Ovis aries: one gene and its partners. The protein of the gene in region 1 interacts with the protein of each later gene in a pairwise test. Links are inferred from orthologs where the notes say so. Each region holds a gene or a part of one and is shown on either strand. Other genes may lie near its edges.

Region 1 (3,384 bases):
AGGATCACAACCATTTCACAGATTAAGGCACTGGGCCTCAGAAACACAATCCTGATTGCCTGACTCTGGACTGGGGACCTCCCATCCATGCAGCTACTCCAAGATCAGGGGCCTGTAGCAAATTGGCTGCCGGCTTTGGTAAAAAGAAAACCATGTTATTTTAAGAGCCCCACTATCCCCAGTTACTTACTGTCAGTAAGAGCAACAAGGGAACAGTTCCAAATGCAAAACACTCAGAATTCATGCTACACCACCTCCCCCTGGTGGAATGCTCTAGAAAGTGTCCTGATGACAAGGAGCCGTTGCAACTGGAAGACAATGAGTTTTCCATCAACATCACCTTCACTTCTTTAAATCATCAAAGCGACATTTTTTTCCATCAAGGAGTCAGGTACTGACAAAAAGAGAGGAAATTAGGACCTGGTGTCAATGAGGCTGAGAGTCTTGGATGATGCTGGGGGTGGTGCCAACTCTCTACCCTGGCCCTTTCCTTTCTTACCAGCCCTTTCTGTGGCTGTTGCTTCTGTCCCTGGTGTTCTTCTGCACCACCTTTCCTGCATCCTCTCTGCCTCTGTCCACTCTCCTGAGTCTTAGGGAAGGGCAAGGTGTGACCATGTACCCTCACCCATGACCCAGCATGAAGCAGCCCCAACATCAGGAATGTCCAGCAGAATCCGCTGAAGAGCCAGTCCTCAGGCGCTGGGCACTGACATTTCCAGTAAGTCAGGACGCAGTACTGACATTTTTTAGACATACAAGAGGGCAGCAATGTCGGTCTTCATCTGTGTCCCCCGAGTCTCCCGATAAACACATGGCCTCTTCATTCTTCCAGGAAGAAGGAAACATTCAACATGACATCTAGAACAGGAAGAGAGAGAACATGCGGCATACCAGCTCTCCAGAAAACACGAAACACCAGATCTGTAAAAGCTAGAGGCACCAGGAGGGGGAACCTCTTCGTGATTCCAAAGAGGCTAGACACACAAAGGAGGGGAGCAGACACGAACGACTGCATGAAAACCAGCACCTCGTACAAGGTCCGGGTGTTCATCTTCTGAGATTCGGTCCCAGGCTCTGGGCAAAGCTTGGATGTTTGCCAAGTCTTCCCATTGGATTGACGACAGGAGGTACTTCCTCTTTAGGTACTTTCCTGGGAGTTAAGGAAGGTGCTCAAAAAGAAAATGAAATGTGCTGAAGGAAGAAAATACCCTGGAGAGCATTCCCAGGAGCTAGAAAAGCAAAAGCACAGCTATCATTACATTTACCAGGTGGGCAGGCTCACCTCCATCCCACTCCAGTACTCTTGCCTGGAGAATCCCATGGGCGGAGGAGCCTGGTGGGCTGCCATCTATGGGGTTGCAGAGTCGGACATGACTGAAGCGACTTAGCAGCAGCAGCAGTAGGCTCACCTCTGCTACAGATCTTTACCGAGCCCCTCTATATACAAGGTTCTGGGCTACAGGGAAGGGATGAAACACTGCCCTGCAAACTGGGATCTCACTGTGGTGAGAAAAAAACACAACAGAAACTGAAAAGACTCTAAATGGGAAGAGATAAAACTCAGTGGAAGTTCACAGGATAAATTCATCCGCCCTAGAGCAGGGGTCCCCAATCTCTGGTACCCGTCTGTGGCCAGACGGGTTAGGAACTGAGCCTCCCAGCAGGAGGTGAGCGGTGGTCCAGAAAGCGAAGATTCACCTGCCACTCCCCACTGCTCGCATTACCATCTGAACCGTCCCTGTGGAAAAGCTGACTTTCACAAAACCAGTCCCCAGCGCCAAGAAGGGTGGAGAACCACTGCTTCAGAGGACAGTAGGAAGATTCCGGCTGGTAGGAAGAGCTTAAACCAAGACAAAGAAGAGGGGAAGCACGGAATGGATTCAGGACAGTACATCTTCCAACGAGATGCAGAATGGAATCGTGTGTAGGGAGCAGGCAAGGCAGCTGAGCAGGCAGGTGGAGGGAGAAGACACAGACCAGTGTGCGGGGTCTCACCCCCGGGACACAAGAAGCTACGGAGAAGCCCTACCCAGTTGGATCAGAACAGGGACTCCTGAAGATAAACCTGTAGTGTGGCCACGACCTCGAGGTAGCTTCTTCCTTCTAAGGAAAGAAGCCAGGGTCAGAGAAACCTGCCTAGAGATGGCATGCGACAAAGGATCCAAGTGAGACTGTGGCACAGGCAGTGGGGATACAGAAGGGATCTCCAAGAAACACCAAGGAAACAGAGCGGAAGGACTGGACAGTGGAGCCAAACACCCTTCCAACAGCACCGGCACACAGGAAGAGCTCATGACGCCTGCCCTGGCTGCTGCCGCCAGCGCAGCCAGCGCCGCTACCGATGCCATCAGCAAACAGTGGGCTCGGGGGCAACCCTCCGGTTTACAGACTACGTGACGCTACAGCTGAAGAAGGGAGCTGATGGGGTGGGGGCTGATCTCCATCCACTTGAGCCTGCAGTTCCATGAGATTCCAGTCAGGAGGCAGCTGCAGGAAACTGAAAATCAAAACTAGAGGCAAGAATAAATGAAGGTAGAAACTCCAGCCAGAGAGTAGACGCGCCTATCGGGCAAGACTAGAGAGAAAAAGGGAGCGGACTCCAGTGAAACGGTCTTTTGGCTTCCACCCAAGTCTTCCCTCAGAACACAGATGGGTGATAACATAGGTCTGATCAGATTACTCCTCTACTGAAAACTTTCTACAGCTTGTGTCTCTCTCAGAATAAAAGCCCAACTCCTTCCAAAGACCTCAGAGGCCCTACCAGCCCTAGCCCTGTCTCCTGACAGCATCACCTGTTAGACCAGGCCCACTTGGCTCGAGCCCTACTGGCTGCCTTGCTATTTCCTGAACGGACCAAGTTCACTGTCACCTCAGGCCCTTTGCACTTGCTGCTCCTTCTACCTGGAACACTCTTCCCCCAAACATCCACACGATTCTTCCCCTCACCCTCTTCACATCTTTTCTTAGAAACCACTTTCAGGGCAGTGAGGCCTGCCCTGACCACCCTATTTAAAACTACAAGCCCACCCTTAACCCTTGCTTTCCCCAATCCCTGCTTTATTTTTCTTCAAGACACTTAACATCATCTGACATTTTATATATTTTCCCCTTTTTAATGTCTAGCTCCTACCACCTAGAATAAAGCCTGGAAGGTGGCATCTGCTCAATAAATGATTTGAGGAATCACTGTACAAAGGGATGCAGGAGGAATGCACGTCCAGGAACCAAAGAGAACTGACTTACACCATGTATTTTTGTGTAATCTGGTGAAAACTGAAATTAACAAGACTTCCTGGAACAGCTCTGTGAAACGTGTGCAAAGGATATGAATTCCGATAATGTCTCTCAATGTCCTGCAACCACTCCAACATTTCAGCCACAGAG
Region 2 (4,166 bases), on another chromosome or scaffold:
TTCCACATGTAAGTGATATAGGATATTTGTCTTTTCCTGTCTGACTTATTTCACTCAGTGCTTATTTTATACGTAATAGTTTGTACCTCTAGATACCCTACCCCTATATTGCCTGTCCACACTTACCTCTCCTCATGGGTAACCACTAGTTTGTTCTCTGTATCTGTGAGTCTGCTTCTCAAAAATAAAGTTTTAAAGAAACAGCAATGAAGGGCAAGAGGTTATAACAGCCTCATTAGAAAACAACAGCCACTTCTGACAAAATGAAAGAATATCTAAATAAAGATATGCTTAAGTGTAAAATGTAACTATCAGCAATTAACATAATATATACCAGTGTTTAACGCTGTGTATATTCCCCTCCCCAGCCCATAAATTTTTTTTTCTCCTTTGTTCTATTCAATTTATAAGAATTAAATGCTTTTTCCCATGCTATGAGAACCAGTAGCCCACTGGTAGGTAGCAGCAAAACTAATAAAAGTCTATGCCTCAACTTCCCAACTATAAATTCTAACATTTGCCCTGCCTACATTTAAAAGGTTGTAAGTGGGACTCTTAACACAATATTCTTACCTTCTCCTTCAGGTATGATCAGAATTGGCTGGACTGCATCAAACTTTATTACTACAGGAATCCATATACTATTATGTACAGGAGTCTCAATGCCATGTCTTTTCATTTATCTTACATAAAACATGTAAGTTTGTGTGATGTATCTGCAGACACAGAGGCAGGACTATGGGCGGAGGGAATATTTTGTGAACTCTAAGCTTGCTGTAGCTTATAGAGTAAATTCTACCTTCACTTTTTACAAAAATATTATACTTTTTTGATTTAACCATTTAAATGCACCATAGTACATTCTTATTCAAATAACATCCTTTAAAATGACCCACTGGTAATTTTCGGGGGTGGGGAGGGAGGTGTTAATGTCTCTCCTCTATTTTTTGTAAAGCACACTTTTAATTGCAGAGAAATTGACCAAGCCACCAAAGGAGAGACAAAGATAAAATCTACAGCTCAGTGGCATCAACTTCCCAAGCATATGAATGGGGGAAAGGTGGAAAGGGAAGGGTTTAACTGAATGGTATGAGATCCTCTCAAATCCTTTGCCTTTAGGTAAAAGGAGCTGAGTTGTGGCAGCTGTGACTGCCAAGTACTATGAAGTGCTCATAGCTTGCTTTCTGAGACAGACTGTAGCAACAGGCAATGTTAAGGGTAAGTCTAAGTCCTAATGCCAATATGGTAACATGGGCACCCTGTCTGTTACCACTACTCATTCCCAGACTATTTGCCATGGTCAGAAGAACCAAAAACTCTTTGATGGAACAGCTGTTCCATGCTTCCCCCTTCCTCTACCCATAAATTTCACTTCAAAAGCCCTTGATGATTTCCCAAAAGCTTGCCACATTTAGCTCATTAAAGTAAAATGCCAAATGTTCACAGCCCTGGCATGTGCCCCTGCAGGTAGTAAACATTGACCTTTTCCCTTTCCTTGCCCAGTTCAAGATCCAGGAACCAGGTGATCTGTTGTGCTCTTCCCAGATCAATGTTAACTGCAAATTCACTGAAGGTAAAGTACAACTAAACAATTATTATTTGACTCCTTTAAATGCAACTATGATGATGGTCATCTCTCCTAGATCATTAGCCCCTCCAAATTCCTGATGCTTAACAAGTTGATGCTTCATTAAAATAACAGGCAGGCCCCAATTATTCTGAACCCAGTGGAAGGGCAGCACTGGAGTGAAACCACACCAGTCCTTGCACTAGGTAGGGATCAGGAAGTGCTAGTCTCCAAATTACCCCACATTTTACACAATCTTGAAAGTCAAAAATATGTGCATGATGATTAGTATTTATTACTATGCAAGACTGAAGAAAAATGGAGAGGAAGGTGGCCCAGGATGAGATGGTTAGATAGCATCACCAACTCAATGGACATGAATCTGAACAAACTCAGGGAGATAGGAAGGATGGAGGATCCTGGCGTGCTGCAGTCCATGGGGTCAACAACTATGCAAGCAGGTTGTACAAAAAGGAAAAAACGATACTTTATCTAAAAGATTAACAGGCTAATAAGATCCTTCTGGATGCAGACCCGAGAACCGAGTTTTGGAGCGATGGCTGGGTGCAAAGTGCTAAGGTGTTTGGAATCTGCTTACTTTTCTCCTTGAGGTTCTTCTTTTGGTCACCATTTTCAGAGCAGCACTAGAAGGAGAACAGGTAAGACAAACACATCAAGACTGACGTGACAGGGGGAACTCACACAGGGCTCTCAGGGGGCATCCAGTGGAGGACAACTTCTCAACTTCCTGGGAGGCCAGAGTCTGGAGGTTCCCAAAGGGCCACGTCCCTGGTGCCACCACTGTCACATCCCCAGAGAGCTGGGGTTACCTTGCCTGGCCTCCAGGGACACCTCTCCAGAACGATCTAGGTCATATCACCAGGGATCGCCAGAGCTACCGCACTGGGGCCACCTCCCCCGGGAGGTCTGCCACCTTGCCAGAGCAGCAAGGGCCATCTCCCCGGGGTCACGGCAACCGCGTCCCCAGGCCGTCAACTCCACCTCACTGAGACACTCTCCCCTGGAGGTCTGTGCCACCTCACTGGGCCACCAGTGTCCCCTCCCCGGGTCACCAGGGCCACCTAACCGGAGTGACGGGTGCCTCGCCGCTCTCGCCGGCCAGGAGCATCCTGCTTCCGCGCGAGTCGTCTGCTCCTTGCGCAGCCAGCGTGGCCAATGGACTCTGGCTCCCGCCAGCGATCAGAGATGAGCCTCGGAGACCGTAGCGCCGGACGCCACGGCAACTTCCTGCACCGTCTCTCTGGTTTCTTCCTTTCCTACCAGAGAGGCTCTGCCCGTGCAGCTGCCGGCCGTGTGCAGAGGCTCCCCCTGCCGTCCGGGGGTCGGATCAACCCCTCTGGAAGGAGAAGCGGGGGAGAGGAGGGGCGGGGACGAGGTCTTTCTCAACCTTGGTAAAATCTTCTCCACTGCATTGAGGTCATTAATGATGGAGCTTGAAGGTACCCCTCCCTCCACATAAATTCCACTTAAGTCATTTCAACTTATATTTCCGATGATATACCAGATGTTCTGAGAGTGTGAGGGGGCTTGTCGACTGGCTTTAATGTAATTTGGTTGGACTGTTTTAGCTGCGGAATCTCCAATGTCTTTTATCTTTGGATCCTTCTTTTACCGCAAATCAGATACACCTAGAGGTGACCCTCCAACTTCCTACCTGGTGGGTGCAGATCACATTCCGATAGCTGAAAGGAGGAAAAGGACTCGGCATCTACTATATACTTCGCCCAGTGCAGAGACCAAAGAAGTCTGTTCTTTGCTAGGGAGGAGGACTAGGATTGCCATCAAGAGTTAAATAGCGAACCCAGGGATTTGACGACTTCAAAACAAACGTGCAAGTGCTACCGTGGAGACTGAAGCAAACAGGGGCAGGGGAAATAAGCAACCCTTAGAGAAAACAGAAAACATTCAACGAGGAGAAAACTTTATTTATATCCTGAGATGCGTGACCCCCATCGCAACCATAAAGCAGTAACAGTCTACTATTTTAAAAGGAGCATTTAGAGACAAAAAAATATAATAGTAGAAATGAAAATTTCAGTAAAATAGTTTTAAGATCAATGTTGGGAAATATCCTGGGCGGGGCGGGGGGGGTGCGGTTCGTGGGGGGCAGCGGTGGTGGTGGTGGGAAGCAAAAGGTCAAGTGAGTAAAAAATAGGAAAGAAAAAATAAATTAGAGGACCACTCCAGGGGGGTTAAAATCCAAAAAAATAAGAGTTCTAAAAGAAAAACAAAAACAAAACAGCGATTAGGGAAAGAGTAATCACCAGCAAAACAATTGAAGAAAATTTCTCCAAACCAAAGGTCAGGAGTTTCCAGATTGAACTAGGTCCCACTGAGAGCCAAGCACAATGGATACAACCTGACTCATCCCGTGGCTTGTCACTGTGAAACTGCAGAACGCTGAGGTCAAAAAGACAACCCTAGGCTTCCAGAGAGGAAAAAAAAAAGAGATCATTTAGAAAGGATCAAGAATCAGTATATCATTCAATTTCTCAGTGGTCACAAAGAAACCCAGAAGACATCAGAGCATGTCTGTCAAACTTCAAAAGAAAATTTATTTCACACTGAAATTCTGTAC
Region 3 (4,041 bases), on another chromosome or scaffold:
AAGGGCATGGGGCCTCTGTCCTGAGACTGGGTGGCTGCTCTGACATAAGGATGGGAAAGAACTGTGGGGACAACTGTGAGGAGGAGTGAGGTCCCTGGGGACAGGAACTGGGGTGAGGTTGCTTCAGGACCTTGCAGTGCCTGGCACGGGGGCCTCCAAGGCGATCGAAAAGGTGGGTGGAACAACTGAACTGGGTGAAGAGCGGGCTCGGGGCGGCGTGTGGAGTGGAGGGGCACCTTCCTCTATTACCCAAACTCTCCACGGTGATCATGAGTGCCCTTCCTGGCAATCCATCTATTCATCCGGGTACTAGGACAGGACAAACAGACACAGGAGGATTCAGCCTTTGACACCCTGCTTGGAGATGCTCACAAGGACAGAGGGATGCTATCCTGTCTCCGGGCAGCAGGTGCTAAAAGACTCATGAGTGTTACTTGACTCGCTTAGGCTCAGAATGTATGCCTTTGGAGCTGGAGGTAGAGGGTTGTTCTGGTAGAGGGGTGGGTAGGAGGTGAGAGGCGCTGAATGGGGGATCAGCCCTCAGGTCGGGGGTCAGGGTAATTGTGCTTTTTACAGTCCGGTTGCAGATACCCTCCCAACAGCTGTTCCCAGGAGCCTATTGTCACCCTGGGGCCCTGTGCAGCCATAACAGGGTAGGGTGGCTTTGTCTCAGGAGGCCTGGGAGGTTGCAGCTCAGAGTACCTCCATCTGGGGTATTTGAGGGGGGCCAGGGTGTGGGCGAGCCCCAAGGGACAGCTTCAGAGAGGTGGTAATTCCCAGGGGCATGTAGGAATCAGGAGAATGTACTTTTGGGGGGCTTAATTTTGCTCATAAGTAAGGGGCTCGGAGTATGATGGGGAGGGGTACTCTGAGTGAGTGATCTGTACTCTCAGAAGGACTGTAATTCCTGGGGGGTGTCAAACTCAGGGTGATCTTAATGGGGGGCAGCATGTGAACTGCGGGGATGTCCAAGGGTGAGCGTGCTAGCGGGGTGTGGAGCTGGGGCTCGGAGTGGTCTGGGGTGGGGCAGCTCTCGGGAGGGCAGGAACCTCTGGCCCCTGGGAGGGGAGAGGAGGAAGCTGAGCCGCCAGGAACTGACCAATGGGGAGAGCGCCCTTATTTGCAATCAGGAGCCTGCAAATTCCAGGGCGCTCAGATAGCCGCCTGACACCGTCCCCCCTCCCCCTCCCCCGCCCGCCCCGGGCATAAAAGGCGCCAGGTGAGGGCCTCTCGCCACTCCTCCTGCCGACCGCAGCCACTCCGACCAGTGCCGCCTCGTCCTCCTTCGCCATGACTTCCTACAGCTATCGCCAGTCGTCGTCCACCTCGTCCTTCGGGGGTATGGGCGGCGGCTCCGTGCGCTTCGGGGCTGGAGGCGCCTTCCGCGCGCCCAGCATCCATGGGGGTTCAGGGGGCCGCGGCGTGTCCGTGTCCTCCGCCCGCTTCGTGTCCTCGTCCTCCGGGGGCTACGGCGGCGGCTATGCGGGCGCCCTGGGCACGTCCGACGGGCTGCTGGCGGGCAACGAGAAGCTCACCATGCAGAACCTCAACGACCGCCTGGCCTCCTACCTGGAGAAGGTGCGCGCCCTGGAGGAGGCCAACGGCGACCTGGAGGTGAAGATCCGCGACTGGTACCAGAAGCAGGGGCCCGGGCCCGCCCGCGACTACAGCCACTACTTCAAGACCATCGAGGACCTGCGGGACCAGGTGGGCGGTGGCCCGGCTGGGGGAAGTGCACCTGCCGCGGAAACCCAGCCCCGAGGGCCGGGCGAGGCCCGAGGCGGGGGCGGCGGGCGCCCCAGCCACCTCCCGGCGGGGCGGGAGCGAGCCCGTTAGGATGTGGGAGGCCGACAGGGTGGGGCTGAGCGGAGCCGGCAGGTGAGGAGGGGCAGGACAATGGGCCAGGAAGTGAAGCCTGCAGGGCGGGGCGGGTTAGTGTGGCAGGGCTGGAGGAGGAAGGCGCTCCGCTCCGCTAGGCCTGGGAAAGGGGGTCGGAAGTAGCAGGAGTTGGGGCACAATGTGGGCTGCCCTGAGGTCTAGGCCCGAGTCGCCGTGACAACAGGAACATGCAAGAGTTTGGCCAGGGAGAAATTCGGTCCACACCAGGCCAGCCCCGTCTCCTGCAGTCCCCGGCTGGGGCCCTCTGCATTCCTTTATTCCGGGCGGGGGCGGGGGGTCTGGTTTCGCTCACGCTCAGGCTGAAGGCCTCGTCTGCCCAGGGGGCCACTTGGGACTCTGAGGAGCTCTGGGAAGAATGGGAGAGGCCGACTCTGGGCCCTGGTCAAGGAGGGACAGTCACTGTGGCCCTTGGACCGAGTGAGAGTGAAGAATGCAACCGGTGTGCGGAGGCCCAATGCTCTGTGGGTGGAGACAGGTCCCAGCTCCAGCCTCTTCCTGGGCGGTGCTCAGGGTCCTTCAGGGTAGGGCTTGATCTCCGCCCACCCTACGGGGAAGAGCAGGAGCTGGGAGCTCGTCCAGAAGAAATGTTTCAGAAGCCAGTGGGACATTTAACAGTCTCATATGCCATGCATGCTTGCGAGTGTGCTCAGGCTCGTTGCGACCTCATGGACTGTAGCCCCAGGCTCCTCTGTCAATAGAATTTTCCAGGCAAGATTACTGGAGCCGGTTGCCATTTCCTTCTCCAGGGGATCTTCCCCACCCAGAGATGAAACCCAAGTCTCTTGTGTCTCCTGCATTGGCAGGCAGACATGTTGGATCTCCGAACACACAGCCCCCACAACATAGCCCAGGACTCACCTTGTGCCTGGCCTGGTGATGGGTGCCAGGTGCCTAGACCAGTCCCCCAGATGAGAGTTAGGGATGTAAACAACTAGGGTAGTGCTTTCACACTTGTAAAACAGTGACCTACACTAGGAAATACAGTTTACCCGAAAGAGGAGGTGCGAAGTGCTGACGCTTAACAGATACTCAAGAAATTCCCTTCCCTGAAGGCAGAATGTGCTTTGAGTAGGGGTGGGACAATGGGGTAACCCCTATTTTTGCTGCATCTGGTCTGCAGATCCCTAGAGGCTGCCTCCCTAAGACCATTAAGAGTTTCCCTGGGTACAGGTCTTGGAGACTTTTCCCTCTGAGGCTTACCGCTCTCCCCTGCCCCTGCCCATCTCCTGCCCCCTGGGTCAGCCTCCTTGGTAGTAATTTTCTCCTGTTCCAGCTCTCAGGCTTGGACTGATTTCAAGGCCGCCCAGAGAGCAGGCAGCCTGGGGTGGCTGGAGCTTTGGTCTCCAGGGACCCGGGGGCACAAGCACTTCTTTGCTTCTCTGGGAAGAAAGTGGGTGGGCATTGCCCATATGCTGAACTGGTGCCAACCTCTTGCCTTCTGCCTCGCAGATTCTCGGTGCCACCATTGAGAACTCCAAGATAGTCCTGCAGATCGACAATGCCCGTCTGGCTGCAGATGACTTCCGTACCAAGTGAGTGTCTCTACTTTAGGGGCTGCCAAAGCCAGAGCAGGGGAGGGGAGGCAGTCCCTTTAGGGGCTCAGAGCCATGGCGGGAAATGGATGCTTCCCTCACCTACCCTAGCTGGTCTAAAGCACTTTCCATCCCCCATGGGGCCTTGAGCCCAGGGGAGGTGGGGAAATCTTCAGAGGTGCAGAGGAAATGCTGGCCTGATTACGACTATTTCCTCTGAAAGGTTTGAGACGGAGCAAGCTTTGCGCCTGAGCGTGGAGACTGACATCAATGGCCTGCGCCGGGTGCTGGATGAGCTGACCCTGGCCAGGACTGACCTGGAGATGCAGATTGAAGGCCTGAAGGAGGAGCTGGCCTACCTGAAGAAGAACCACGAGGAGGTGGGTTTCATGCTGGGCATCCCATCCACCCTAACCGAGCTCCCCAGATAAGATTTTTAGCCTGTATCCTCTGCCTGTGGCCACATTTGCGGGCCTCTTGACCTGACCCTGAGTGTGGATTGTGGCTCTCAAGGGTTCTAACAGCAGATGGTGGTGACTCCGTCTGTCCCCCAGTGCTGGGTCCTAGGTCTGCACCTGAAAACCGGCCTCTCCCCGCCATGGCCTGGGGT

The links.
Region 2: the proteins of AIRIM (region 1) and RINT1 interact in binary tests that used the Homo sapiens proteins (3 or more experiments, as listed by UniProt). The two-hybrid records come from large-scale screens. The link is inferred for Ovis aries from reciprocal best matches to the Homo sapiens genes AIRIM and RINT1.
Region 3: the proteins of AIRIM (region 1) and KRT19 interact in binary tests that used the Homo sapiens proteins (3 or more experiments, as listed by UniProt). The two-hybrid records come from large-scale screens. The link is inferred for Ovis aries from reciprocal best matches to the Homo sapiens genes AIRIM and KRT19.

What each region holds. Positions count from the first base shown.
Region 1 is NC_056054.1:12,495,844-12,499,227, forward strand, and holds part of AIRIM (AFG2-interacting ribosome maturation factor), read right to left. Parts: coding exon 3,328-3,384; intron 1,147-3,327; coding exon 975-1,146; 3' UTR 859-974; coding exon of another isoform or gene 821-858; 3' UTR 1-820. UniProt on the Homo sapiens protein: Part of the 55LCC heterohexameric ATPase complex which is chromatin-associated and promotes replisome proteostasis to maintain replication fork progression and genome stability.
Region 2 is NC_056057.1:48,154,350-48,158,515, reverse strand, and holds the start of RINT1 (RAD50-interacting protein 1), read right to left. Parts: upstream 2,807-4,166; 5' UTR 2,697-2,806; coding exon of another isoform or gene 2,655-2,696; exon of another isoform or gene 2,270-2,654; intron 2,212-2,269; coding exon of another isoform or gene 2,166-2,211; intron 717-2,165; 5' UTR 680-716; coding exon 574-679; intron 1-573. UniProt on the Homo sapiens protein: Involved in regulation of membrane traffic between the Golgi and the endoplasmic reticulum (ER); the function is proposed to depend on its association in the NRZ complex which is believed to play a role in SNARE assembly at the ER.
Region 3 is NC_056064.1:41,473,677-41,477,717, reverse strand, and holds the start of KRT19 (keratin, type I cytoskeletal 19), read left to right. Parts: upstream 1-1,235; 5' UTR 1,236-1,290; coding exon 1,291-1,707; intron 1,708-3,348; coding exon 3,349-3,431; intron 3,432-3,654; coding exon 3,655-3,811; intron 3,812-4,041. UniProt on the Homo sapiens protein: Involved in the organization of myofibers. Together with KRT8, helps to link the contractile apparatus to dystrophin at the costameres of striated muscle.